Linked DNA regions of Drosophila melanogaster. The protein of the gene in region 2 interacts with the protein of the main gene of each other region in a pairwise test. Each region holds a gene or a part of one and is shown on either strand. Other genes may lie near its edges. The genes, in order: CG12253, Gas8 and spartin.

What was found.
Region 1: the proteins of Gas8 (region 2) and CG12253 interact in a two-hybrid assay, tested with the Drosophila melanogaster proteins (one large-scale study listed by BioGRID).
Region 3: the proteins of Gas8 (region 2) and spartin interact in a two-hybrid assay, tested with the Drosophila melanogaster proteins (one large-scale study listed by BioGRID).

What each region holds. Positions count from the first base shown.
Region 1 is NT_033779.5:10,985,810-10,995,451, reverse strand, and holds CG12253 (uncharacterized protein), read right to left. Parts: upstream 7,647-9,642; 5' UTR 7,618-7,646; coding exon 7,297-7,617; intron 7,167-7,296; coding exon 6,470-7,166; intron 6,404-6,469; coding exon 6,285-6,403; 3' UTR 6,211-6,284; downstream 1-6,210. Other genes in the region: TTLL4A (tubulin tyrosine ligase-like 4A), read right to left, coding at 1,431-1,709, 1,779-1,949, 2,018-2,457, 2,530-2,654, 2,721-3,078, 3,132-3,482, 3,567-4,393, 4,669-5,267; piwi (P-element induced wimpy testis), read left to right, coding at 8,120-8,203, 9,324-9,642.
Region 2 is NC_004354.4:3,498,914-3,509,197, forward strand, and holds the start of Gas8 (growth arrest specific protein 8), read right to left. Parts: upstream 5,939-10,284; 5' UTR 5,629-5,938; coding exon 5,626-5,628; intron 4,519-5,625; coding exon 4,476-4,518; intron 1-4,475. UniProt on the Drosophila melanogaster protein: Cytoskeletal linker which probably functions in axonemal and non-axonemal dynein regulation. May play a role in the spermatozoa motility.
Region 3 is NT_033777.3:4,650,052-4,660,999, reverse strand, and holds spartin (spartin), read right to left. Parts: upstream 6,201-10,948; 5' UTR 5,921-6,200; intron 5,842-5,920; exon of another isoform or gene 5,730-5,841; intron 5,483-5,729; 5' UTR 5,468-5,482; coding exon 4,345-5,467; intron 4,098-4,344; coding exon 3,791-4,097; intron 3,420-3,790; coding exon 3,188-3,419; 3' UTR 3,015-3,187; downstream 1-3,014. Other genes in the region: Karybeta3 (karyopherin beta 3), read right to left, coding at 6,911-7,548, 7,664-9,017, 9,107-10,201, 10,266-10,415. UniProt on the Drosophila melanogaster protein: During postembryonic development, functions with endocytic adapter Eps-15 in neurons to restrain synaptic growth, by inhibiting BMP signaling, and to control synaptic endocytosis. Required presynaptically for neuromuscular junction (NMJ) neurotransmission.

The DNA.
Region 1 (9,642 bases), on a different chromosome or scaffold from region 2:
ACTTTTATTTTTCAAACTTAAGCTATTTGATATTTTTTTTATATTTTATAAATTGGGCAACTCAAAAAGTGGTAACAAGAGAATATTTAAAATGTTTTTCTCTGCATATTTGTGTTGAACGATAAATTTCTAACTATACGCTTTTCGCTACATGGAGAGAAAAAACATGTTTTGCATAACCAATCAATATTAACAAAAGGTATAAGCATTGTTATACATTATTTTTGTGAGTTAACTATTGGTCAAATGAGTTCGAAAAAAAAAGGTAAGAAGTCCGTGGAATTATAAACCTTATAATATAATGATTATATGGAAATTTTCTTTCAAAAACACACTACATTCGCTATGGATATAAATCATCAGGCGCAGTTTACTTTGCGATGGTCCGGGTTGGAAAATTTGCGTAAATATGTTTATTAAAATGTTATTTTTTTTTATTTTTTTTGTTTTTTTTGTGAAAGATTTGAGGTCGGCGCGTTGGAAAAGCTAGTTATGGACAGCCGATTGAGGTATATTACCATTTAAAGACCCACCTGACGCTGGAAGAAAGTCTTGTTCTGGACTCAGGTGTAAGGAATATGCAGTGTGATCACCTTCAACATACTTCATATACGCAGAGACATAAAAAGAAATTATAGTGATGGTAACGTCGAACAGAAAAACACAAACAAGAAGGCAACGCAATGCAATGAAATACATATGGATTCGGTGAGCAGTTTCTGTTAAAAGTTATTTGCTATAGGAACATTTCAATTACATAGAACATCTGGATTTATAACTATATGCATATGGGGCCTGTCGGCAAAAGAGAACATCACTATTTGACCATCCCTCTACTTGTAATTTTATTTAAGCTTCGTTATTTACCTATGCATTACTGGTAAAGAAAACAAAAGATTTTTACGTTATGGTAGTTAACCGGTAGAGATGACAAATACACTTTGTTGTCCTGGATATATTTTAAATAAAGACAGTACAAATATTATAACAAGCTTACTGGTTTTCATCTATCTACTAATATTCGAGATTTTATTTTACGATGACTCTGCGTGGTCAACAGATAAGACTTACTATGGCAAAGAGCGCGGCACCGCCAAAAGAACGATTGTATAAATCTCCAACAGCCCTCAAAATTTAACAAAAGTAGTCGAGAATTTATGAATATTTTAACTGATTTTTAGAACAGTATTTTTGTGTACAAAATAATTAAAACGTGGGCAAATACTTAGTGTATGTATAGAATGCAGTGCAATATGCACTTGCTTTCACAAATTAGGTTTATTATAAATAAAATAGGATAATAACTTAAGATACTTGTAGTATTTAAAAAAAAAAATATCCTGACCTACATATTTGTTTTGTATAGTTTACGATTCATTTAAATGGGTCTTGTGAAAAGCTTCTGCACTATTGATGAATAAAGATCTCACCTTTTTGGCTGGAGGAGTTGGGACTTGAAGATGATATTTGTTTTGACAATAATCGCGCAACAACGCTATCCCTTCTGTGCGATTGTTAGCGTAGCGGGATTCCCAGGCATCCAAAAGGCGATTGTAATACCGCGGAGTGTCGTTGTATTTAAGGTACTTATGGGTTTGATCAGTTGGAAAGATGCGCTCCAGCGGTGCACATCGCGCTAGTTCATCCTCGGCTATGATAAGGCACCTCACATCATCGGGGGTCAGATTATTTAGGATCGCATCCACATACTGTGTTGTATTAAATGTTATAGTATGATTAGCAACCTATCCATTTGGAGTATCAAATTTGCGCCTCACCTCATTCCGGTCTTCCATAGACTTTCGGGTAAATGTGTTATGTTTGATCTTTTCCTCGCGCGACAAGTAGTTAATGTAAAGCCGCTTGTCATAGCACATTTGTGTGCCGGGAGGAAAGGAAAATTCTGCGGCCAGTTCTTTTTGCTTATCAAGCGATAGTTTTGGAGGTACCTTAAAATATGTATCATCATATATATAGTTATACGTTCTAAATTCATATGTAAAATGCCAGCACTTACGTTGTACAGCGCTGTATTAAGAACGCCCTGCACTAAAGGCGCTTTAACATGAGCATCTAGGGGCAGTTCCGAGTGTAAACTGGGCGAAATATTAACTTCCAACAGCCAAGGCACAAGATCAGAGTCCAGAATAACATCGAAGCCGAATAGCTCGAAGCAGCTGTACTTTGATTCAACATTTGCTCTAATCATGCTATTAATGCCATTCTCGCCAGCAAGAATTGTCCGAAGCACCAAACTCCTCAGAGCCTCCCACAGACAGTCGGTACGCACTCCACGATTCGCCAAATACGTCCACAGCGACTTGATAGTCCACTTATGTCCGTGGCAGGCATTGACGTCTTCGTTCTTCGAATAGTTCGAGGAAAACTTATTGATGCTGTAGTTGGTCAAATGCATACACCGATCATTCAAAGTGTCCGTTTTAGCGCTGTACTTTACTGAATATACATAGTATAGTTTCCTTTGGGTTAATATACGGCTCACTCGATTTTAGATAAATATTTACTTACCTGAAGCGAACCGTGCCAATCCGTTGTGGTACATGAACACTCGCAAGGGATTCACTGATGTAACCAAGACATACAGACGCAGATCAAATTTACTACCATTTATTAGAAGCGGTCGCTCTATATACCTATGTAAAACAAATCGGGAATAATTATTATGTTTCCGAAGCTTTTGATCCTTAGATGCTACATACTTTTGTACGATAAGGGGCCTTCTCTTGGGTATCTGGCCCCATCGGTTGATAACCCTGATGCCAGCACCCCGAGCACTAGCTGGTGGCTTTATAATCCACTTAGTATTTCGCTGGGCATATTTCGGCCAGTGCCGGCGCAGCGCTCCCAGATCATTGGGAATAATGTATGTGCGTGGCATGAACCCGAATTCCTTGTTGCTGTGCTTACCCATCTGCCTTTGCAGATTCTTCCAGCACGAATCCTTTCGGCCGATGCGAAATGAACCGGGCAAGTGATTAATTTTCTGATACGAACGAATGGCCTTAAAACACGGTGACTTTAAATGCTTTCCCCATACGCCCATCCAGTCGTTGGTTTCTACTTGCGAAAATACATATTAATTGATATCTGATTATTATGTAGAAACTCACTCTTTAGCATTCGCATTCCGCTGTTGGCCAGAATCAGACGAACTACCTTTGGCATTATGTTTGTAATGCGCCACTTCAAAACGCGATGAAGATCCGGCGGCACGCGTGGACCTCTTTTTGTGTTCGACGAAAAAGACAAATAAGGGGGCACGTAGGGAAACAAACTGGGAACCAGAAGGGAATCCGGATTTTTCAGATCATCCTCAGACGACTGCGAAGACAAGAAGCTGGGCGTGCTTTGGGGCGATGAAAATCGATCCACAGAGTGGGTAAGCTTGAAGGCATGGGCACGATAACCGTCCTCAGTGTCTGACAAAACACTCGCCGTGTCGCTTTCGTCGAAATTTGATACTATTATTTGGTTAAACAATGAAGTACAAATTAGTTAATTATCAATTAATTAAAAAAAATAGATCTAAGGTTAACAATTCTTACAATTGTCGAGATCATCATCTTCGTCGAAGTCGTCATTACGATCGAAGTCAATGGCACTACGGTGATCTTCCTGTTTGTGTTCCGGCTCCAGCAATAAGACCGTCTGTCTTTCATCACCTGCACCCAGTACCTTGGAGCTCTGCTGCTTTACACTTAGCCGCTGGGTGCTGAACTGCTGCTTGCGGCCGAGCCGTGGACTCTGAGTGCTGTACAGCAGGACTCGGTGAACCGTGGGCATTGGCTTTTTGGTAGACACGGTCCCACCTTTGGCCCTCTTTGGCGTCATGGGCAACCGTGGCATGGGCTGATCCGTCGACTTACGCATAATCTTTAATTCATTATTGTTGTTATTAATAAGCGTGTCTCCGGAGCCATCCAGGACCGTATTTTCGGTCATTCTGCAGTAGCGCCGATGTACTCCGACCTGCTCCAGCCCATTGTCAATTACAACAACGGGGTCATAGCTATCTTTAATGTCCCTGTAGTCATCTTCGCTTCCAGGGTCTCCTCCCCAGCCATTGTCTAGGTAATCGGCTTTTAAATCATTGCTTGGGAGCTTTTCCTTTAGCACGTGCTTCTCATACTTTTGACCCTGCCAGGTCCTGTCCTCGGAATTGTCCCTTCGTCCAATGATAACTGTGCCATCGACTTCTCGCGAATCCCTGCGACTGGCGCCGGCCTTTTGAAATTTACTCATTGGCACTTTGCGGCTATTGGCAGCGGCAAACGTTGGCTTGGACAGTTTCTCCGCTCCACGGTTGTAGAAGTACGAAAAATAGTGCTGATAGTGCTGGTTTGTCGTCTGATACTGGACCGGGCGTTCCGAGCTGAAAAACGAGAATGGAAGGCGGTTATTTACAACATGGGGAACAAAGGAAACTGTTTATTGTTTACACATCTATGTATGTTCAATGAGTGTCTGTGGATATATTGTTAATGTACTCGCAACTAGAGTGTTGTGTGGTATCTATCTGTAGTTTTCCAAATTGTAACTTTAAGACTCGAACACAACAACAACAAAATACGTGTGTGTGTGCGTGTACTGGAGGTATGTAGTTTCAACAAGCAGGACAATTAACAAAAAGGCATTTGCATAAATTACAGTATGTTATCCCAGGTCGGCTCTGGTGAGGGGGAATTGAGTGGCCGATATCGGTCCGGACTATTGTCCACATAATCGTTGGACACACGTCCCCCTCGGTCTTTCCGTTTCTTTAGCTCCGCATCAAAGTATACGATGGATGGCTGCAACAACATCTGCTGCTGTTGCTCCTTGTCTACGGCATATGACCTTGCCTGCTTGTACTGCCTATTGGAATGCTGATCCTCCGATCGCTGTACCGTCTGATAGACGTACTCGCAGCTCTTGTTGCCAGCTATCCGCTGGTTGACCAACGATTGCTGGCCAAATGCATCGGTAAACAGTGATGAGTCCGGCGCCGAATTGGCCGCCGATTGGTGGTAGCTTGATCTGGCCGATTGCTTGGTGGGAATTCTCTTTGTCGGCAGATTATGGTTCTGGTTGGGCACTGAATTTTGATTCTGGTTCTGGCGATTGCCCCACGCTGGAGCGATCAGGTTGCAGTTATCGTAGCTATAGTAGCAAAACGTATTGTCCGCATTGCAGTAACGTGACGCCGGGGCTCCATTGTTGTTCAGACTGTTGCTAGCTGGGATATGATAGCCGCTGTTGTTACGCATGTCAGATCCTGGTCACCCAGTCATATATCTGTTGAGGGGTACGTACTAAGCTCGATGTGATCTCTGACTCCGCTAACCCAAAAAAAGGCCTACAAACAGGTTTTAAATGCTGTGAATGATTTCTGATCGGATTTGGACGTAAGTTTACGGATGCGGATTAATCATATCTGGTGGATAGATAGAGAGAAGCCAGAATGCATAGTATGCCACTCTGGCGGTGAATATACAATATAGATTAACCCCGCCATCACCCTGGGCTACCAAGCGTAGCTGCCACTCCGTAAACCAGGTCATATGTACAAAAACTTACTTGCCTCGCGATTTGTGACCTTTACTTTGTTGCTGCAGCTGGAAGGATTAACGGGCACGGAGCAGGATTGCGGTGGCGGTGGTGGTGTCGTTACTCTACCCAAGCGCAGGACTCCCAAAATCTAGGTCACTGGCACTTGTCGTCAGCTAGCTCGGTGTGATTACATTGCCAGCACGAAAAATGCGCCAGGTGTAAATGTATGTAAAATGGAGGCAAAAACTGAAATGCAAATCGAACACACATCCTTTATAATCATAATGATTGCGGAGGCACAATATACCTACAATATAACTAATAGCAAATGCACAATTTTGTCTAATAAATATATTGGATTATTTGGTAGCTTCCAGTTAAGCGTGAAATTCTTAAACGTTCACTAAAACTTTTCACAGCCTATGACAACAAAAAACTAAACTACTGTTTTATTGAAGAACAGAATATCCATGTGCACAGTTTGGAGATGGCAGCGTGAGCACCTCAAACTGCCACCTCGCGATAGATACCGATTGCGCACGCACCAGCTGTTCGGCCGATAGGGGACTTCCCGAAGAAACCGTTTTAATCGCTCACTTTACCCGTTTAGCCTGGTTTTGAATCGGAAAAACACGTAAGGAAAATCGACATCATAGGTTTGTTTTTAATAATTTTAATACTGAAAGTTACAAATTGTATTCGTAATGGGTTCTGTTTGCAAGAACTCTTATTTATTAGCAAGCAAAATGGGTTTTAATGAATTGTCTTCGATTGTTGTCATCTCCGGATTTTGGTGACCTTCCTATGGAATTGAAGAAAGTGGAATTAAAGGGTGAAATGTTCTGTTCCGTATCTAAAAAGATAAATGAAAACCAATAAACAATGAGCACTTTAGGATCTATAGCATTAGTTAGCTTACCAATGCTTGGATCGACCCACTCCATGGCCATGTTGTGGAGTATGGCCAACGCCGTAATCGTTTGCTTTGCAGATCCATGGGAACCCTGGATTTCGGTGGCAAGGATACCGAAGCGACTCATCAGCAGATTGAGACACTTTCTAGCCGATGCGTAGGTGACCGCGTGGGCGTGGTTATACAGCTCCTCGGATTGGTTCCTCGGGAATCGAACCGGTGTGAACAGGGAGGAGGAGCAGCGCACCATTTCGTTGCCCAGCAAAATACGACCCCGGAACTCGTTCTGTTCGAATCGATCCTTTATTTTGGACAGACCGAACATCTCGGTGTCGGTGAGCATGGACTGCTCATCGATCAGTCGGATATCAAGGTCCCTTATCTTATGAGCCGCATCGCAAACAATCTGAATGTGAAGTTCCTCCTCCCGGCTGGTAAGGGCGGGCAAAAGCTCCTCTCCATCCAGATCAGGGGCACAGTTTTCCGGTTGAAACCTCACAGTTGTCTGTAGTAAAGCACCAATGACTTGCGGCATATTGGCAATTGCTTGAAACGCCGAACCAGATCGCTCCTTTTCCGATAGAGTAGCCGGCATTCGGATATACCTGGAAGCTTTCGATGATAGGACAGATGCCACGCGCCTAGTTATTTTTGCCAAAGTGCGTAAACTAACGCCATGGGCCATTGCAGTTAATTTGGGGTGCTTAAATAAGAAAAAAATTTAGTAACAAATCTTAGTTTTCATTTTTGGCGGGCAATTTTGAAAGCCAGTTCACACGGTTTTGATGTACATACAAATTCGCGAGTCTGGCATACAGAAATGTTTACTGTACCTCTGTGCCGCCCCACAAGCGAATAGCGGATAGAATCTGCAAATCTATTGGAACTTGCTCCCTCTTTAACGGCTCAAAATATTCAATTTCCAAGTCATCCCGTACAATTTCAATAATTCTGCGAAGGTTTTCCTTAGTGTATCGGTACTTTAGTCGAAATTTATGCTCATTTAGATCGGTCAATGGATTAAATCTTGGGTTCCTTTTCTTTATATGCGTTGCCCGCGCTCGAGAATTGTGTTTGATATTCAGAAAACATTGAAAGTCTTTGAAATAATCAAAGTCTTTTAGAGACCTTTGAAATCTTTGTATATCTTCCATTTTCACTTGTTTACTTGCATAGCAGGGTGGCTGTTTTGTATATATTAGAAAATACCTCATACGTACATGCGGTATTTAAGGCTCTTGCAACGATTGAAATTTTATGATGAAACTTTACACTTTAAAAATAATCTTTTTAAATGTTGTTAATTAAAAAAATGTAAGTAAGTAAATTAATACTTTTATTTTTTTTAAGCACGTTATGTACTTTTGGAGTTAAATAATTTTTTTTTATGTATTTCTATACTTTTAAAAAAACAGAACAGAAAGAAATCAAAGCTCGAAGTACCAAAAAATAAATACTAGGGAAATAGAACCTATTGCGAAGATTTGCAAAAGCGATTGTTTTCAGTTGTGAAGACTAATATCTACACATTCCAAAAGCTTAACGATCTTTGAAATCTGGCCATTTGGTCACACTGAGTCCAAAGCGTCGTTTTCAAAGTACTCTTTCAGTTTCCATTGTGAAGTTTTAAGTGATCGCGAGTGCCAAAAAGTAACAATGGCTGATGATCAGGGACGTGGACGCAGGCGTCCACTTAACGAAGATGATTCCTCTACTTCCCGAGGTAGTGGTGATGGGCCGGTATGTAAACTCTTATTCAAGCTAGGAAAAAAAATCATAGCGGTAAAGCAAATTCCTTATAATTCCGTTATGTCGCAAACACAAACACAGCCATGTACATAGATTGTAAATGCGCGCATTTCTTCGGAATTCGACACCAAAAGGAAGCACTAAAACTAACAAACAAAAATCTGCTATGAATTTGAGCTTGACTGCATAAAATCTTCTTGAATTTCTGTTGACCAAGCACTTTTTTCAAAGGGAATTCATTAAACATATTTCCAAAAACGCTTCTTTCAATTTGAATTTCCAAGGAAATGTAAAGCATTATCTGTTTCGTTTCATTTATTTTTTTTTAATAAAAACTGCTAAAATAACCATCACCTGACAGGAAGGTGGCTGTGGCAAGCCGAATCTTATTTACCCTTGCAGTCTATGTCTTTGGAATCTGCATGCCCGACGTTGATATGGACGGACATGACCAAATGGACCCGGCTAGTGATACTCATCAAAAATCATGGTCGGAAACGCTTCCTTCTATCTGTCACATACATTTGATTCCTAGAAACTCTACGAGTAACGGGTATTTCTCCGATATTCATCCCAATTCTATACAACTTTGAGATGGCTTTCAGCATTGATATACTCTGAAATTGCAGGCAAAGCATACTACAAAAACTATTTTTTACCATTTTTTTTCTGCTTCATCTTTGATTATGAGTAACAATATTTTCGTAGCTTGACCGTTAGTTTTATGATTTAAAATCTGTCGTACTTTAGGTAGTTGTTTAAATGGCTCACATTTAGGAATCACAACTATTTGTTTAAACCCCTTAATATTTTTTCTTTTAATAATAAATAATAAACAGGTAATACTTTTTGATTGTTCATCGCGATTGTTTTCAATGTACAAAGTTGAGTCTTTCTGGTGTTTATTGCTGTCTCGTGTTTATTGCTGAATCTCGCACGATCTCTCTCTTTCTTCTATGTTATTTTTTCCATCGGCGTCAATTATTCATAACTGCCGCTAGGTGGAGCTAGTGTGCAGTCATTCACTTCTATTAGGAGACAGCGTCCTCTATATCTAATATTATAATTTTTTTTAAATGAGTAACTTACATCATTTAATGCTTTCATGCAGCGGGTGAAAGTATTCAGAGGATCTTCATCAGGTGACCCGAGAGCGGATCCTCGTATAGAGGCTTCAAGAGAGAGAAGAGCTCTCGAGGAAGCTCCCAGGCGTGAAGGTGGCCCGACAGAGCGAAAGCCGTGGGGTGACCAATATGATTACCTGAATACCCGTCCGGCTGAGCTGGTATCCAAGAAGGGAACCGATGGCGTCCCGGTCATGCTGCAGACGAACTTTTTCCGATTAAAAACCAAGCCGGAATGGCGGATCGTTCATTATCACGTGGAGTTTGAGCCGAGCATCGAGAATCCTCGTGTCCGTATGGGAGTTT
Region 2 (10,284 bases):
TCTATTGTTGTGGCTACAATGGTTTCTTTTCCTTTGGATTTTTTACATCCAGAAACTATCCACCCGAAATCAGTTTTTTGCCCAAGGAGACCGTCTATTTTTATAACTCCATTTTGCAGAATGTGAGTATATACGTCTGCTCCAATGATTAAATCAATGCGACCCGGTTTATTAAAATCGGGGTCGGCTAATTTAAAGTTCTTCCATTTTTTCTGATCAACATTAATCGTGTTGACTGGAAGTGCCTTCATAAGTTTTGGGAGAATAATTGCTTCAATTTCTAAATTTTTCGGAGAATTTCTTATCGAAATAACCGCTTTGTGCTTGGAGATGCACGTTCCTGTGGAAGATACTCCACTTATTTCAGTATGAGACCGAAATTTTTTCAATTTTAGAATCTGTGCAGACTCTTCTGAAATAATTGTGCTTTGAGAGCCACTATCAATCAATGCTCTTAATTGTTCAAAGCCTCCATACCTCGACTTTACTTGAATCAAGGCCGTGGCCAACAAGGCTTGACCTGTTGTTCTACACGTATTCACTTTTTCTGGATTATGACCTGCAAAGTGAAGTAACGTGTGGTGAGGTTTACGACAAGTCGAACAAAGCTGCTCGCTTATACATTTTTTACCAAACGGATGCCTCAGACATCTTAGGCAAATCCCATTTTTTCTTACCCAGTCAGACCGTTCTGCTGGATTCATTATTTTAAATTTATGGCATTGAATTAAATAATGCCCTGGTAGTTTGCAATATGCACAATTGTCACTATAATTTTTATTCTTGTTATTATTAATCATTTTCTTTACAGGTTTTACTTCCTGTGAGAATGATGATATAGAATTGAGCCTTTGCTCTAAAAAGTCCATGACATCAGAAAGTGCCTGTATTTCTTTTGTCTTTTTAACATGGCTTTCATATAAATTGAGTGATTCTTTATTGAATTTCCGAAGAATTATGTGAGCGAAAATTGCATCCACATCTTCTGGTAATTGTGCCTTTAATTTTATAATATAAATTGACTCGTTAATCGTGTCAATAAATGTCTTTATTTGCTTATTGGATTCTAAATTTAAATTTGGCATATCCATAAGCCTATTCATATGATCTGAGAATATGTTTCTTTTATTCTCATATCGCTTGGTCAAAAACTCCCAAGTGGCTTCATAATTTTCTCCAGAGCCGAGCAGTAAATGAGTAACCACATTTCTGGCTTCTCCTTTTAATGCTGACTTTAGATAATTAAATTTGAGAGAAGGACTGAGATCCTCTCTCACATGTATGAGCTCTGTAAAGAGTTCATTAAAAAGATCCCATTCTTTGGAATCACCAAAGAAGGTGGGAATCTGTATTTTAGGCAGGGTTGGTAACTCCTTCGCCTTAACAACCGTCGACATTTCAGCTTTATTTATTGTGCCACTGAGTCGACTATTAATGGCTGTAAGAATATTTTGTTTGTCAAATTCAAGTTCGCTAATTTCTTCTTCGAATAGCGAACTCTCAAAATGACTATTCACCTGTTCAATCAGGTTATCTATTTTATGCCATAAAAATTCAATTTTATTTTTCCTTATTTTAAGGAAATCTGGACTACTGTCTATTAGTTTAGACGTATCTTCTAGATATACTCGAAATTGGCCAACATTATTACGAAATGCCTGCTCTACTTTTAAAGCGTTGTTTTGTGCTATACCCTCTTTTTCAGGGTGACCACGCATTTCAAGGTTTAATGTAGGGGGAGGGTTTGATTTAGGGACAGTGTTTGATTTAGGGAAAGTGTTTTCTACCGACTCGCCCTTAATTTTTTCATTTTTATTTTTAATTTTTTCTAACACCATCATTATTAAATCATACTGCTTCGCGTTAAAATATTCATGATCGACAACGCCGATCTTTAACAAATTGCTATGATTAGCAATGAAACATTTTTGAAGCTCATTTAATTTTAGAATTTCTACATCTGTTAATGTTGGTTTTACTTCCAACTTTCTAATTTCCAAAATAATTTCGGACTGCTTCTTAAGGAATTGAATAGTCTTTTCTGACATCATTTTGAAAATTTTTTGTAATTTCTTAATATATATAGTACGTGTATATGTATTTTATATGTATTTATATATATATGTGTGTTTGGATAAACAGAAAATTCTTGTTTTGACTTAGCTGATGTCGTTGTTGTTGCTGCTGCTGTTGCTGCTGTTGTTGCTGCTGTTGCTACTGCTGTTGCTGCTTCTGCTGCTGCTGTTGTTGCTGCTTCTGCTGCTGGTAGAGGCTCCTTTGAATTTGACTTCCTTCTCTTCTTTAAGGCTCCGTCGATGTTTAAAGATGATTTTTTTTTTTTTTTTTTTTTTTTTTGGCACGTTTTATTATTTTTGTAGTCCAGTCAGATTTTTTGTTTTTTAGCCATTTATTTCGGCATTTATGCTCTTTTGGCATATACACTGCACTCTATTTATGAGCTGATTTAATGCTATTAGAGCATTTATAAGGCACTGTTTTCAGGCACTTTTTATTTAATTTATGCTCTTATGGCATATACACTGCACTCTATTTATGAGCTGATTTAATGCTATTAGAGCATTTATAAGGCACTTTTGTTATGCACTTTTTAATTTCACAATTGCTGATGTATGGCCTCAAGCACGCCTTACCACAATTTATAATGGTACACAAAGCAACCTTTAGCTATAGACTATAAGGTGCTTGTTTTAAAACATAAAAGATTCTTTTGTATCTTTTGCTTTTTATATTTATACTCTGTTCCTTACCTTTGGTAGGGGGAAACAAGAGTCACTTATTTTTGCTACCTTTAGCTGTAAGATGCTTAAAGGAGCTGGCCTTTCTCTGAGTTCCTTACCTTTGGTAGGGGGAAACTGCAGAGTCGATTAAAGGCTCGATTGACCAAATGTAAAATCCCAAATAAGAAGACTTTACTCGTTGAGTTTTTGTAAGAAACTGATTTTATTTGGAAATATCTTCGGTTTAAATAGGTGACATGAGAATCGCATCTTAAAGTAAATGGCCTACGCAGAGGCCTACGTAAATAGTCCCCGCCTTATCGAGGTCCCACGCTCGGGCACATCTGCCTATCTTGAGCGGCGAGGACCTTATCTGTGGTCTCCCACTAAGGGACTATTTTAGGAGGCGGGGAACGATCTCAAGTGACTGACTCATGTAGTGTGCACTTAAATTACATGTTTTTGAGCAATGCACCCATGTCGCCTTAGATAACAAAATCCTAAATATAATTTATCGCTCTCGATTCATTTACATAAGATATGAACGGAGCCCAAAATTGTAAGTCTTTAAATATATTCGTGTTCATGTGTGAACAGGAATTTTTTTGTCTTGGTTATTTTCTAATATTGGGCTAGGGGTCCGTGAAAAGTTTAGTCCGCATATTGGGGGCTCCCGTCCTTATGGCTATTTAATGAGAGCGGCACGCCTGGTTACCCTCTCCTCCCCCCCCCTTTTGCCCCTTTTTCGTCCATTTTTACCCCTGCCACGCCCCCCCCCCCCCTTCCCTTAGCCGCTGCCCGCATATGTGACCCAACAGCAGACCGTGTTGTAATTGTTTTCTGTAATTGGCATCGTTGGCCGGCTGGTGCCAGGACTCGGCCTAGGAAGGGCTACTAGGACCAACAGGACCAACAGGACTACCAGGAGACGAACTAGATGCCACACGGTGGAAAAAAGACCAAAGACATTGCATTGCAAAGACAATTTGAAGTCAAAGTGAAGGAGCGCGTGTAAACTATTTAGAGACATGTGTTAAGATAAGTGTGTGGCATAAACAAATCGATGATATAACTATAATAATACGATACACTAGGAGTTTCCTTGCGTTCCACGAGTAAGAGCGTTTTTCAGTGCACGCACAGAAACAATTATGTGCGTTAGAGAGATCCCAGAGAGCGGAGGATGGTTGGGTATTTGTGGAACCTACAGTGTGCTCACTCGTGCAAATTAAGTGGTCAGTTTGGAACCCCCCCTCCCCATTTTTTGCCTTTAAATTTTCTGACTGCAAGGCTGCAGTCAGAGCAATTGCATCGGGAATTTCTTGTCCTCAACGCTCCTATCGTCCCTATCGTTGCGCCCGCGTCCTGCCTTCTCTTTTGCTTCTCTCCTCACGCAGATTATCGTTATTTACTAATTGTTTTGCTTGGCCTTTATAAATTGCCCTGAATGACCAATGTCCGCCATTCCGGCTGCCCAGATATCCAACTACCCAACTACCCAGTGGTGGCACCCTGCTGCCATTAATGTTCCGAAAATGAATTGCCAGGCAGTCCTCGTCCTTGTTCAGTTTGTCTACTCGTTGAGGGTCTTTAACAGCCGGTGTTCTTAAAGAGGGCACTAAATGAATTTTGCAACAATTAACTGATATCCTTCACTTCAATTACCGTTCAAAGTAGTTAAATTTGGGAATTCATAAATCTATGCTAAAGTGCAGTTTACTCGAGCTTTTTACTTACCTGGCAATTTTTTGCCTTTTTTGCCCTTTTTCCCTTTAGGCGGCTGTAAGAAAATAAGTTCAAATGAAATTATTATTTTGATTTAGTTTTAATCTCAAAAGAGAACGCACGTTACAAGAGAAAATCTTATTTAATTCATTTAAAGAATCCGAGCCGAGCAGGAAACTCAACTTGAAGTCTCGGCTGAACTTGCAGCAAAGAATTTCCACATTTGTCTATGCAAATTGAAAGAGTTCTACTCGCAGGAGAATGGAAATGGGGTACTGACTGTGCAATTGTCGTCTGCAGTTCGCCACTATTTTTCGCACTTTAAATCCTTTAACAACGTTTAATTCGATTCCCTTCACGTGGGAGAAAGGCAGCGAAAGGCGGAGAAAGCGGGCAACTGCCATCGTTGCTTTAAATAATGTGATGGCGCGGCTTTCAAAACAATTTCGCAACAGCTGTTGGCTGTTGGCTGCTGGCTTATTGCATATTTTATGACTGCAAATTATTCAAAAATTTTCGAAGCCGCCTGCGCCCGTCGCCAACCGCGCTTTCGCATGTCCAAAGGCGCAATGTATATATTTATATATATATATATATAAATATAAATATAAATATAAACATATATATGTAGCCGATGGAAAAAAGGCGGATATATGTTGGGGGCAGGTCTATACATAAACAAATGATCGAAAATAGACAACCAGCAGGAGTTGGAGAGGAGGACTCCTGCTTGACTGCTATAAATACACAGTGGAGCCACTGTAAAGGGAATAGTTATACTAACTTAGGTTCTCCCTACATATGTTCTTATATAGACAGAACGACTACTAAAGTTGCTTTGAAATGAATGCGCCATACCAACGTTGACATTTTGACTAGCAGTAGCAGGACAGCGCCTTGCCGAGGCTTCACTGTAGCCCACTCGCAAAGTGCAGTTTGTATATGCAGCAACAGCAACAGCCTGGCTTGGCATGAAAAATTGAATGCGCCGCTTGCAGTGCAACTGAAAAAAAAAATCTGAAAAGCTGAGACCAAAAGGAGCAGCGGCATGGAACCGGAAATCGGATAGAGGCGGAAACTGCTGCTGGCCAAGCAGTGCGGCCATAAGGCGGCCGAATGGGTGCACTGCTTTGTTAATGTGATTTAACAACTTATTGCTCACCATACTGCTGCCGGTGCTTCTTCCTCTGCTTCGATTCCTCTGCTAAGAATAAGAACCACTTCGGCTTGGTCTTTCCTGCCAACTGAGCTATTGGCGTTCTACGGTCCAACAACCAAACAAACTTATCGATAAAGCAGTTGCCAATGTGTGTGTTGTGGGTGTCTCGTGTATTCGTGTGTGTGTGTGTGTGTGTCTCCGGGCAACCGAAAGAAGAGGTTAAAGGTTGAAGCGTTGTTTTTTCGGTTCAGTCTTCTCTCAATTATATTTCTACGGCAGGGACAAATGGTTTTGAACTGGCAAAATTCAAAATTTGGGGAAACTTTTGCAGTTATCAACTGGGTTACTAGGGGCGGGAAGATTTTCATGTGCTGAAAAACATCTAACTAAAGCGTAGTGATATTATTCGAATATCATATTATATATATTTCTAAATACAAAATGCAGGTATACATTCAACAAAATAAACCACATCTACTTTGGTATACGCGTGTGCCCGACATTAGTTTGCTGCCCAAGCCAGTGAAAACCAAAAAGCCAGCCCAGACCAGACCAGACTCTTTCTCTTGTCGCCGTCTGCTGTCTGCTTCCTATAAATGGTCTCTTGAATTTTCTCTGCCCCGGTTTTCTTAATTTTCCACCCTGCACATTGGCCCCAGAATTTTCCCTGCATCTGTTTGTTTATTTGCCGTTTGTTGGACGGACTTTAAATGCTGTTGGCACTGCAGTCTCTGCTCTTGACTACTGGCTAATTTGATGATTTCGTGAAATACGATATTATCAGGAAGCTGACAGATCTTCGGCTTCTCCTTTTGCTTGAGAATTGCTTGATGGTCCTGAAAATCTCGGTCGAATCAACTTTATTAGTCCGTTGAATAGCACAGCACCTATGGCCTGGAATTTCCCCCAGAAACTCCGCCACTTTCCCGCCTTAATTAATGCTGTCTAGGGGCGGGGCAGGTTGGGTAAACAAAAGTCGGTGGGCTCTTCGGTTAAATGCTTTAATTGAAATTAATAACCGCAGCCAGTTTTGGCCAGTTGAGCAGTACGTCGGCAGTTGAGACAAGTATCCCGTGGCTTTCGCATGGGAAAACATTTTCGGACCCGGCACATAGACACCGAGAATTTTCAATTGTTTTCATTAAAAGTCAATTTTTGATAGCAAAGACGCTGTGGCTGGCTTACAGACAGAAAAACTATTATTTCCACGTTATAAAAATGTTTATAGCCAAGACTTGAAGTGGCGAAGCGACACGGAACAAAATACATATGATCCAACATATAAAATGGGAAACAAGTTTTGTTTTTTTTTTTTTGCAATCTAAGCCGTTAAGTTACCCAATTTTCCTCCTGTGTACCTTCAACCCTTTTTAGACACTTTTCCATCTGCCCTGCATAATTTTTGTTTCATTTTATTCTTGCCAACGGCTGCGGTCGGTCATGGCCCATTGAATTCCGTAACGGCTGCCAAGGGTTAAAGGGGTGGCAAAAATGGGTAGCCGCTGAAAAAGCACTGATTGAAAGTGAAAGTATTTAAAATATGATTAGAAAATTTGCTTATCAGGACCGAGGTGTGTGCGCGCTTTAAGGAGAATTCTTTAAGAAGCGAGAAAAGGTAAACAATTAATAAGATGAGTATCGTCTATGCACGATCCAATCAAACATAAAGGAATCTCGTGTATATCGTAGGAAAGCCTCAAGATCTCAGTTCTGCTGCGAAGTAATGATACGCTCCTTAGAGCTTCTTCCCTGTTGATTGAATAGCATATGGGCAGCCATCGTGAAAAATTCAATTCGATACAACCAACCAGCAGACACCTACTGAGATTTTCTACCAATTCAATTACGAAAATGATTAAATTATTATTATTCCTTATTTTCGAACAAACCTGCTGGTTTCCACACACGACAAATATAAAATAATAAAACCGCAAAGCCAATGCATAACATATATTGTTTTCAAATTAATGTTTTTACGTCTTGCGTTTTCTTTTGATTCTAATTGAGTTCCGTAATTTCCTTTTAAAGAAAATGCAATCTGTTAAGTTTTAGTTCTTTTATTTTGTCAGAGCTTTACTCTGGGTAAAAATTTATACATTAAATTAAATGTTTTATTACATATTGTTTTCGTTCTCGTAGCAGAAGTCCAATAAATGCCAACTCAGTTGATGCAACTTGGGTGTGTTGAAAATCGTGGGATTTTTCGGAGGGGCCAAGAGTAGGTGGAAAGTTAATGGAGAAAGGGATGAGGGGGGGGGGAGTGCAGTGCTCATTGCGGTGGCAAAAGTTATTTGCTGTGTTATTTTCACAACAACTTCCGCTCGGCGCAGAAACGGATATCCTGCCTCTGAGTGAGAGATTCGGATTTGTACAACTAAATATAGATAAAGATAGGATGAGGAAAAGTTGTTGGTGCAGCTGGTCGGAGGTCTTGTCTTGTCTGTTGTTAGCTGGAGAACCCCTCAAACGCCCCTCGTCGTATGCAAAATTCAGCTTTTACAACTCCTAGGATCAAACTTTGACATGCGACCCAAACTCTGGAAATTTAAACTTTCTGATTAATTTTAATAAATATATTTTTGTCCTTTATTTGTAGAATTTGTTCGTTTACCATATAATATATATAATTTGTCTTGTATATATATGCTTGTTTATTAATTATATATAAGATATACTTTACTTTATGCGTTTACTGCTGGTTTATATAGAGCGGCTCTCAAATTTTTCAGTGAGATTATCAAGAGAACTTTGATTAAGCTTCAGTTTTTTTTTTGTTTTGTGTGAACGTCATTGATTGATTCTTAAATCCATCCTAAATACACATTACAGTTTATCCTCGTTGACTATATACAGTTTTTTTTTTTTAGCTTTAACTTTTCTTTATCATGTCTTATATACAATTTTAGGCTTAAAATCTAATAGTTATTTAAGAGCAACGAAATGAAAAATTATTTGTTACACATTTAAATGGATTTTAGCCACAACAAAACTATATACATAATGTGAAAAGTCGAAAGATTCCAGGATTCTATAACATTTCCTCTAGTTTATCTTATTTATTTTCGTTCAGCATTTAGTTCTGCTTATAATGGCACATAATGTTATTGTGTAATTCGATTTTTTTTTTTGATATAAGTACAGTACCATAAAGGGAGATATATCCCGCTTAGCATATGAACAACCTTTAATGGCTCCGATTCTTGTAGAGTCCATTTTAATAACTATGATTTGCATTAAATGTAAGCCCTAATTAACAAAGTTCCAAAACGAATTTAGCATTTGCTTTATACATAAACCAAAAGAACTGGTCATCTGCTGCTGTGATCAAAATCAAAGGGTTTCTAGTGCATTTTTAAAAGAAACATTTTTAATTAAATTCTTCTTTTGCGCGGGGTGTTTTTTTTATTATTTATTTTGAAAAATGATTGATCAAAAAAAAAAAAAAAAACGATTTACTTTACAAATAAACTGTAGAAAGTATTTTCAATACTCTACAGAACTGATAGCGTTTTCAGAAAAACTGAACCAATATATTTAGGGCATTACTATTATTCGGAGCATAACGGTATGACCACCTAAATTTCTATATATATATATATATACGCGCAGGGGGTTGCTTAGACGTTGTGGCTAGATTTGGTTTTATTGTTCCAGCGACAGTACAAAGCAGCTCTTAATTAAAATGCAACAAATGCACAAAGGATACTGCAGCAGGACAACTGTTGCACAATGGGTCTCCGAGCAGGACTCGAATAAAATTTCAATTAAATCAATTCGAGCATGTGGCCAGAGGGGCCCAGTGTCAAGTGTCCTAAAGGCCCGAGTACCGAGCGCTGAGAAGTACTGCTGAGAACTCAGTCCATCGTCCTGCGTTCTTCGAGTGCTGCTCACACATACGAGCAACATGCAACTTGCTAGTTGCAACCAGCAACCTGAAGCAGCTGTAATTGAATTTCTGCTGCTGGAGTGGCTTGTTATCTCGTATTTGTTTAATTTTATTTCTTGCTCGGCCGCCCGGCAGTCATCACAAACTGATGAAAAGATACGGCTGCAAGCCAAAAATTTGGTTCAAGCTGGGCTATTGGCTTTAGCCAAAACACGTAGAAAAGGGGGGGGGGTGTGTCTAAAAACGTGATGCAACAAACAAAGAAACGTATTGAATAGGCAAGTAAACCAACTGGATCAGTGGAAAATGTTATCGGCAAATAAATATTTTTATACCAAACTGAGAACCAACCTTGTGAGAAGAGATCAATGAATTAATTAAAAAAAAAAAGCGAAGCCATTTACCGGGATACAAGAGTGCATACACTCACACTCACAGGCTGCGCACCAAACACATACTCACACCCTCAGCATAATACATATACACTTAAAGGAATATTCAAGCCGACACTCATTTCATTATTAAATCAAAAATGTTGAGTAAATTTCAGCCAGCGGCTGACAGACTCCGCACTTATGTTGCTCATATTTTCGCTGTATATATTTTCCTTTTACTTTTCGCAACGTATCATCCATGCCCCCGCCTTTCAACGCCCCTTTATGTGTGTGTAACAATTCAACTTGATTGCCATTTGTTTTAGCGAGCTGCTGTCCTGTCTTTTCCCGGAAAATGCGGAAAATGTTTTGCGGCCAACACACGCACACAAGTACATTTTC
Region 3 (10,948 bases), on a different chromosome or scaffold from region 2:
TGAAAATGTTTTGGGGAAAAAACCTATCAAAGCCAACACAGAAACGCATGTCGAGGGTGTCGAAATTTTTTTGAGACACATTTGTCGAACATCAAATTCGAAAGCCAGCAGATCGGTGGATGGATCGCAAGAATGTACAACTCAAGCTCACAAGCCTCACTCCAGAACACGAGCCTCCATCTACAAGTTCCGCCTGACCAACATGATCCAGGTCCCAGAATGCTGCTTGAGGTCATATCCCTAGTCCTGGTCATCACAACGTTATTTTGCTGCTACTGTTGCGTCAGATGAATGGATCTAAGCGATCCGCTCAATGAAGAAAAATCTCCGAGAGAAATGTGTTTTACCCAATCCTACTTTTTGATATCCGTTAGGAAAGATAGGAAAGATATTAGTCTTCATTTTTCGAATGGACCTTTTTTTATGTAAACTTCAAGCCAATAGTTACAAATTGCATAAATAAGCACGTTACTAAGACAATTGGCTACCTTTTTACACTTTTCTTTTCTACACTTTTTACGGTTTCAAAATGCAGATTTTGAAATCACTTATTCACTTATTATTTACTTTATTCATTGTGCAGAAGCTGAAAACACTTACCAACAAAATTCGAAGCTCTGTTCGTTGCTGGCACAGATGCTGTTTTTTACACAGTTGTTTTTCGGCGTTCAATTACATATATAAAAACAATTCAAAAGAATGGCGAGTCAATTGGAACAGCCACTGCAGAGTCCTAAAGTTGTTGTTGTTGTTGTTTGGAGCTGCTTTTCGGGAACAGGCCAAAAATCATTAGAAATTTCTATACTCGAGCGAGCAACACGTACACACGCACACATACGCACTCGCACACAGAGGCGCACCCACACACACTAATAAACGCGGGCCAGAAAATAAAACGGGAAACGTGTTTGCTTGTGTACTGTTGTTAGAACTGTTGTTGTTGCTGCGTTCGCAGTTGGCTGTTTACGGCAGTCGTTGTTGTTTATACAGGTTGTACATATGTATTTGTGAGCGAGAAAAACAGTTTTCCGCCGCGCCGTAATTGCAACTACTCAGCTTGGTGGATTGGACTCCCGTCAAAATCGGAAATAAAAGGCACTACCCACCCACATACACACACAAACACACTTCTGCCAACTCTCCTCCCTCAACCGCACAAGCGCCGCAGTTGCACCTCGACTGAATTCACGATTTTACACTGCACAGGTGCAGTGCTGCGCAAAACAAAACGCAAGACTCTCGGATCCGAACTCCGTGGCTTTGGGCTTTTCCTGCCTTATTTCCCGTGCGCACATATGTACACATTCACATGTATTCATGTACCAAGGGGCGAAATCACGTCCGAGCGGGGAATTATGTGCTTGCGTGCCGCGCTAAACTCTTAGCCACCTCCTTTTGGCCGAGTTCAAAACGTACTGCCGAGCGTAGGAATTTGTGGATATAAAAATGGGGCGGAGTGTGGCCAGCTGAATCAGTTGAGGTGGGTCGAATCGGACTACGAGCGGTATTTTTATCTGTCCGCAGGCAAGGTCTCTCTGTACGCTCTTACGTTTTTTGTTACGTTGTTCGGCGAAAAGCCTTCAAAATAATTAACAACTTTCTCGGTTTTTGAATTAGTACGTAAAGTATTGCATACAAAAATCAACGAGACGCTGATGGATCAATCTATGAAGCTTTGGGATCAAATAATATATAATATTATATAATGATATATGGCGGAGTTTAAAACCAAACCAATTTCAAGATAATTTTTTATTGCGCGTCCCGAAAGTATGCTACACCCATTCCTTTTTTTTAAATTTATTTATTTAGAAGCGATGAATCCATACAATGCAGCAATAGCAACATAACAGCGCAATTAACATATAAATGATAAAACCAAACCTCTCACTAATCATGTGAGGATTTAAACACCCATTCCTATTTTCAGAATGGAACTCGCACGAGAGCTAACGTTTGAAAACAAATGTATTCATTTACTTTACTTTTTTTATATATCGACTGGTAATTCTTAAGAATAAATCTCCACCCTGTGATGCTAAGATACAATATAATTATGTACGGATTCTTTTTAATAAATATATATAAAAAAATGTATTCATATGATTTTGACAATAATATGAGTATACATATTCCTATATTCTCCTAATATAAATATTAATAGGATAAAAGGACTATAATAAGGTAAATGTAAATATAGTCTAGGAGAAAGTTTTACCAACAATAGGGGTTATAGTCATTCATGTTATGTTATGTTCTGATTCGGGAGCTGAACCCTAACTAAATATATGGGCTCCTTGATATATGACACTTAGGACCTATAGAATATCACATTCTATATCTCGTGTATAAAACAAAACGTGAAGTTTTACCATATTTCGCCAAAGTATATATGTGGGGTTCATCGCTCGTTATATAAATTCCTAACTTGTTTATATAAAATTTGACTCGTTCCGCAAAGTTTTTGCTTGATCAGAGTGCTTTTTAAGATAGGAAAAAAGAATAAGGAATAAGATAGCTATATAGAGTCTTAGGAAATGGTTAGGAAATAATGCAAATAACATAACCTTTTCAACAATATAAGATTCAAAAGTCTGTAACTTCAGGCGATCGGAAGCTATGACAGTACTTACGAGGATTTAAAGCCGCTAAATTAGACGGCTTTTTATTGATCGTCAATCTAAAGATACTTAGATCAACATTTGTTCACAATTTACATGGTACGTTCATACTAAATTCCTTGCTAAAATTGTTAATTCTTTTAAATTAGTGAAAGAGGACTGAGTTGTGTATCAAAAATCAGGACATTTTAATTTAAAAACAAAAGATACCCGATACTTAGCGGTTGGAGTGCTAGGAAGCTAGAATTTAGGTTATACAAATATACAAAGTGAATTAAACATTTTTCTTTTTAATACTTTCTAGCTTCGGTTTATCTACAAATACAAAAGTAAAGCATTTTTGAACACTAAAATAAGGTTTTGATGCAAAATCTTTCGAAATATCTTTTTTATGTGTTATTGAACATAATATTTATTTATATTTTTTCTTTTAATTAGAAGCTATAAATGGCATATAAATATTTCAATATAATAATAATAATAATAATAATAATAATAATAATAATAATAATAATAATAATAATAATAATAATAATAACATGTGATAAATTCCTTTGGTTTTCCCGCTATTCCTTCAAAGCTCGAAGATCCGGATAAAGAGATCCGGCATTAATATAATGAGATTCCGATTTGCGTAAGTCTCGCTTGTAGTCACTGACCACAGCTTCTCCTGTTCGTTTGACCATTTTCTTGGCAATGCCCTTCGGGGTTATGTAGTTCACGTTCTGACTGACCACGAAAACGTTGCCCACCGTGTCAAAGGTGCCACTAGCCAGATTCCCCGTCTGCTGGCCATATCTGAAATAGCAAATAAATATATGTAAATATATGAAATATTAAAAATGCCCGCACTATATGTTTTTCTTTTTCGAAGGCGAAAGAAACCCAAAATGAATATCTAGATCTTAGTAGACCTTTAGTAGCATTACATATTTGAGACGATTCACAACAAGTTATAAAACTTTTCTTTGTGTGCAAGCTTGAGTAACATTTCCCGATCCTTGATCATTTTTGCGATCCTCTGCACATTGCGCATAACTTAAATCTCAGATATATTTAAATTGAATAAACCGTTGCCAGCCTAAGTGATTACTTTCAATTCGGACGAAAATTCGTAATGACATCTGTTACAAAACTGCATAAGCATTAAGAAGCCAAAGCCAACCCACTTGTGTTCGATTATCTTGACGGAGTTTTCACTGAGGCTGGAGCCTAGGATCTTGGCGGAAGTCTCGAGGCCATCGAATACGGTGCTCACTCCTTCCACGGCTCCTGCCGCGATGGTCATGGCGCCCTCCATGGTGCTATTAGCCTCGCTGGTGTCGTAGCCAAATCCCTTCTGCAGCAGTTTAGAGCCTTGCTCCTGAATGTGGGGAGCCAGGTAGCGGCCGACTGCCATTGAAGCAGTGCCCACCTTTCCAGCTATCCATCCTGTCATTCCGGCTGCGGCGTGCGTCACTTTTTGGGCCACCTCAACTATAATGAACAAAAGGTTACAACATAAGATACATTAGATCTATCTTATATGTAATCTGCACATTTCCAAACCATTGATTAACATGATTATCAAACACAAGCACAAACTCCGATCGAGGTGGAAGTGTAGTGACGATCACATCTTCGACTTCGAATCTTATCTTCTAATTTTATCGTTACATGCTCATTCGGAAGCTACCATACTTCCGCCCTAAATACAGCTCTTCCCTATTTGGAACTAACTCACCTGAAGTTTGGACGGAGCTGGGCACCTGAGCATCCATCGAGGCTGGCGTCATCTTGGAAATGATATACGGAGTACTCCTAAGCATAAAGCCTCCTGTCTTCTCGGCGCCCCGTACCAGGTTACTAGCAATGAAATCAGCCGCACTTACAATGTGTCTGGACACCTGCTCCGACCCGGAAACGGTATCTGAAGCTAGGCCAGCACGTTGGGAGGTCGGCGATTTCAGCTGCACTACCGTGCCAGCGAGTACGGCCTCCAACAGGTCAAGAAAGAACTGCTGAAGATCCTCCAGTTCGTCCTCCGTGCGCGATGTCTGGCCCTCCTTCGTTAGCATCAAACCAAATGCATTGCCCGGCTGCTGGCACTCCATATCAGGAAAAATAAAGGCTCCGTACTCTGTTTGGTAGCAGTTTGTGATCGAGGGAACCAGGGGGTAAAGCCAAATCCCTGCAGTCCCCTCATTTGGCATGGAGCACTGAATGAAGTAGATGCCACTGAGGTACTTCCATTTGCCACCCACGGTGCACATTACCAATGACATAGTTGACGAGCCGCTTATGGTGGTTACTGATCCACTGGCTTCGATTCGGTACATTTTGACCTGTGCACGGAAGAGCTCATCGAGCAAGACTTTGGCGTCCCGAACAGCCAAGAGCTCCCGCAAGCCGGCAGCGAGCTCTCTGTAGGTTTTTGGTGCTCCGCTAGCATTGGCTATGCCATATTGCGTGGAGGGGTTTTCCGCCAGCAACGGCGGCCTTTTTGTATCCATCTCTGCTCGACTTTCCTCCGTGGCCTCCACGGCTGAATCATCAATGGATTGTTTCTGGGATCGCAGAACTTTGAGGCGGTATCTCAATTCCGTTTCGGCGCTCTTGAGCTTTTGGATCAGCGCACAGGCGTCGTTCCACTCCGCCTGCACGGTGTCGATCTTGTTGGGAAGACCTACTGGAATGCCGAAGGTGTCCTCTATCATACGCAGGGCCAGCTCATAGGCCACAATGGCCTGGCCGGGGGATTCCTGCTCCTCGTGACTTACGGCCAGGTCCACCTGAGTCATGGCCGCTTTGTAGGCTGTTCTGATGCCAGCATAGGCCTCCAGGAATTCGCTTTCCTCCTCCGCCATCGCGGCCTTTAATACCTAAGAAACAGCACAGAAACATTAGATACTATACAAAAAACCAAAGCCCTCAAAACTTTAGTATGTAGAACTAAGAATCTATTAAAGTCAATGACTATGGTTATTTATGGTTTAGTTAGTATACATGTTCTATGTGCTGTCTTTATTCTTATGAATCCCCCTTTCGCAAAGTTCTGTGTAAGTCTTATAGTGCAAATTACTACATATTTTGTTAATATTCGTGAGATTTAAGATATTGTAAACGAACTTGCTGGCAGAGATACATCCCGACGAGGCGGGCAACCGCGACCAACTAAAAGGGTGACCAAAATGCGTCACCAAAGTGGGAATGACGCGCTTTTACATCTTCTCCTGCAGCTGCTCTAAATTGAACTGTGGCCAACGAAACCGCATCCGCCCTTCCGCTGCACTCACCGTCTACCTGTTGCACTCACTCACCTTTGGGTTTTGGTTTCGTCTGATTCTGAGCGTTTAATCTGCACTTTGCCCACCAAGTCACCTAATGATTTAGAAAGCAAACAGAGAAACGCTCTCTTTCGCTATTTTCTCACTAATTTTACGAATTATTTTCTGCTCCTGTTTAGTCGCACACCTTTAAAGTGAGAATATCGTTTGCCTAATATCACTTAAATTCGTAAATAACATGTTAAAATGTGTGTTTTCCATTCGAGTTGAATGTTCCAAGTTTTTCCATCTTTGTTTTGATTTGCTTACTTTCCATTGCGAATCAGATCAGCTGTTTAGGAGGCCTCTGCATGTTCACTGCCACAGACAGAGTTGCCACAACGACTTTTGAAAAGTCTTTTGCGGGAATCGAATTTGAAATTGAATGAATGGTTAATAATAAAAAGCAATACTAAAACATAAGCTCGTGGCAATTAAAATATCGATTTACTTGTTATTTATTTCGTTTTTATCATGTTTAAAATACAATAAATGTTATTCCTTTAAATATATTTGTCGATCCTGGTTTGAATGCACAAAATTATATTTCGTTCGATTCGGACAACGTTTACATCCTGTTTTCCCCGCAGGGAGAGGCGGCCGTTAGGGCCGTATATACACACATATGTATTAAACATATGAAAATTTGAGTAACGAAAATATTCTATTGGAATTTGGGTGTGATTGGGATGGCATTTGGATCGCATCCATACAACATATCAAATTCTAACGAGGCAGACTTTTGTCTTCGGGAGAAGAGTTTTGATTAAAATCACAATATGTATAGAATTATATACCCGGATAACTCTATTGTACACATAAATGTATATCTGTATAAATGGATATCTATGTGTTAAACATATACTTCAAAATTTCGGTAAGATGAAAAATAATGATAACGAGTAGCTGAAGCATCCATCGTTCCTTTCTTGGCTTGGTCGACATGAATGGACTTGGTCTGAAGAGGATTGGGATTGCGATATCTTAGGCGGGAGCCACGTTTGCCAGCTCCCGGTAGGCATCCTGCAGCGCCTGCTGCTGTTCCGGGCTCAAGGTGCTGGCACAAGCAGCCATTACCTCCGGATTCGATTCCACTTGTTTGACGATAGTGAGCATACGAGTGCCGGTGGCGGACTGCGCCTCAACCACCTTGGTGCAGAAGGATTCAGCGATGATGGAGACAATGCGCGGCAGATTGCCGTTGTTTGCCCCAAGAATGACCGGATGGTTGCCTTCAATCAAGTCGCATAGGTAGCCATAGATGTGGGCGGCTTCTTCCGAATCCTCGGACACCGGCAGCCATGAGAACCAAACACCGATCAGCTCGTCCACGTTGCTCAGCGCCGAGTTGTTGTACTTGAGGATCTTAGCAAACGCCGAGATCGCATTCTCTGTCGGACTGATGTTCTCGATTTCGCGGGCTTTGGGATCGTTGATGACCTGCACCAGCAGTGGAATGATCTGGGCGCATGTATGCGCAAACTGCTCACCAGCGAATTGGCCGAGCACCCCGCATCCGTAGGCAGCCGCCTGGCGCACTTCTGGGGCCTTATCGCACACGTACTGGACGAGGGCTGGCGTAAAGATCTGCTGGTATGGAGCACAAGCGGGGCCACAAAATTCTGTAGGTAAATGAGAATACAAGTCTTTAGTTTTATGGTGGCACAAATGATTTGATGTTTGAAGGTATCGGCGGTACTATTGAACTGCAAAACTCAATTAAGAAAACCAACTCACCGATCAGATCATCGAACACGCATAAGCCCCACTGCCGATCAGCTACAGGTCGGCTGGGCTCCAGTAGCTTGACAAAGTGCGGAGCCACCTGTTCAAAGGCGGGTAAGAACTGAGCCTTGTTGGTCTGGAAAAGGGCGTGTGTAATGTCCACGATTTTGGAAAGGATGTAAACATCTGTGTCGTCCTGCTCGGCCAGCTCCTCCTCCACACCGTCGTCGTAGTCTTCCTCATTGCGAGCCGCCAAACGCTTGTCAGCACGCTCGAAATGCTCCAGAACATACTTGTTTATAATCTCGAGAACTTGTTTCATGGCATCCTCGTTAAGGCAATTCGGACCCAATGTCTCAATGCATTTTGCCAGCGAATTCAGCAGCTCCGACTGCACGTCTGGCTCCGGTTCCGTGACGATTACCTTGAGCAGCTCCGGACAAATGAACATCCACATGCCCTCCAGATACTGTGGACCCTTAATTTTTGCGCAGTCGAGAAGGTAAGGCAGCGACTCAGCAGCAGCTGTGCGGACACCGTCGTGGAAGTAGAACTTAAGCATGGGCAGCATTTGACGCACCACGTCCTCAGCGTATTCGGCAAATCCTTCCTTTAGTTCCCTAGCATAACAAACCAGCATCTCACAGGCCGAAGCCTTGTCGTCCATGCCAGCCGTGCGAATGGCGAAGTTCTGCTGCTCGCCAAGATTAATGAAAGACCAGTCCACATCACCGTCGATGTCCTCCACCTCGTCGTTGTCCAGCATCGCCACCTCAGGCTTCATGGTGGCCGTTCGCATCACTGGTCCCATAACGAGGGGCAGATATTGCTCAAATTGCTTGCCAAGGATTTTGCACATACGTGCCCAGGCAGTGATGAGATAGGAGGTCTGCGGATCATCATCAGCTAGTTCCCCCCCCTCGGTGTGATTGACCAGCAGCATATCCATGACTTCTCCGGCATCACCAATAAACTTCTCCCGCCCCACCGCCAATCCTATCAAGCTCACGCATTCAATGGTCTTGCCGCGAAGCATGCGGAGATCATCCGAGTTGGCGTTCTGGATGATGAACTTAAGGCATGGCATTAGGCGATCGTAGTAGGCCACAAATTCCGATTCGCAGGTGTCTGCAACCGATGCAATTGTCGTCACTACCTGCTCCAGTACCAGCTTGTTTCCCTTCTCCACCAGCTCCTTGAACTTCGAGTTCAGAATAGTCTCCAGCTTGGCCATGATCCCGTCCAGGTAGCGTGTCAATATATTTTTCGGGCAGTCCTCGCTGAAGTTCACCAGAGCGGCACCTGCGTGTGCTTGCACTCGCGGATTTTCCACGTCATCCAAAAGAGACAAGAGGCCGGGAATCACCTGGCGAAACAAGGGAAAATTGTTAAGCATTTAATTAATTTCAATTGCTTATTAGAAAGTTGATAAAGCAGTTGCAATTTAAGACTCACCTGGCTGTGGAACTTCTTCTCGAAGGTCTGTGCAAAGTCGGTGGACATTTGGCCAATGGCGTTGCAAGCGGCGTATCGAACGCGAGGATGAGGATCGCTCAGGAAGTTCAGGACTCCGGACATTACCTCATCTAGGATGGCTTCCATCTGCTTGTGACAACCCTCACCGATGGCCGAGATGGCCATGAGGGCTGCGAAGCGATGTTTCCAATCGGCATGACCCAACATAACCGGCAGAGCGTTCATTACGAGCGGAAGCACAATCTTTCCTCCCAATCCACAGGCGAGGCGATCCAGCGAGGACTCGGCGATCACGTTGTTGTCGCTGTGATCGTCATCATCGACCACGTCGGCGGTGGACCAGTTCTCGTCATCATCCAAATCCGTCATCATATGGAGAATCAGCGGGATCAGGGCCACGATATACTTGTCCGCTCGCTTGCGTATCATCGACGGGGCGTTCTCGGCGAGCGACACCATAACTTCCAACACTAGGTGACGCCAGCTGTCCTCAAAGTCCTGCGAGCTGAAAACCTTCATGCAGACCTCAAAAATGAACTCCAGCTGGGGACGCAGGAACTTCGGGCAATTCTCGGTCATCTCAATCAGGAGCTTTAGCAGACTCTGATCATCCTGGGCCTCGATGGTCTCGCCAGTGATGTGGATCATGCGGGGCAGCATATCAGCGAAGTGCTTGTGGATGGCCGTCTCGTTCTCCTTGTCGTGGTAGAGGATGAAGGCTCCGACGGCTCGCACGGCCTGTACTCGGACCTCCGGATCGGATCCAGCGTCCATGCTCTTGGCAAGCATCTGCTTGATCAGATCAATGTACTGAGCTTCCTGGTTTCCAAATATGGAAGGCACACTAGAGAAGATCCGCAGTGCCGATTCCTGCAGCTGCGGCGTAGGCGAGTTAGCGCATTGAAAGAGAAACTGCAAGATGTCGGGCCACTGGTTGTTGCAGTCCTCGTCGATCAGATTCCTGGCCACCTCGGCAACTACCTCGCAAATCTTGCGACGCAGCTGCGGCGTCACCTCCTGCTGCACGGCCAAAAGGATCTGCTGAAGCAATTGGTTCTGGGATTCAGCTGGAAGCTGCAAATGAGGTAATATTAGAAAGATGCTCAGAGGGCGATTCTCTGCGCGGCTTTATGCCTACCCCTTTGTAGAAATCAAAGAACTCGGTGGTAAACAGGCGGCGCAGCAACACGGCGGCCATCTGTCGAGCCTCCTCCGACTGCTGGCCATTTTGGATGTTGCCCAGGAGATGCGTCACCTTCAGCTCTCTTGAAAGATTGTTGTATGCTTCCTGGAATTAAAAATGGTTTTTGTACATATCCATTCGATGTAATTTTAAAATATATAAATATTATTTATATATGTAAATACAATTCCACCTTGACAACATTGGGCTCTGAAACAATTTAAAACGGATCTCGATTATTTCCATCTCTCAAGTGAAAAGCAAAGTCACAATTCTGAATAGGTATTTTTAGCAATCCAGGTGGAACTTTGGGTGGAAGCGGTACCATGCTTGCCATCTGCCCAAGGTCAACAGAGTGGGTGGGGTTTTCTGGCTGGTGTGGCGTGGGCGTGGCGGTGCCATGTGGCGCCGGAGCGAGACTTCGGAATCCGAGTGGCTTATCAACCGACAGATTGCATTTCTGGAACCGTGTGTCATGGATTTCGCACCTGCTCTTTGTTTCCGTTTGCGGCGGCAATCGGTAAACCGAATTGCCTACTACGAATTCTAATGGAAAATCATGTGGCGGCCATGCAAATTGCACAATTCGCTTCCATTTTGCTTTGTTTGCTTGCTTCGCACCGTCTGTCCGTCGGCTC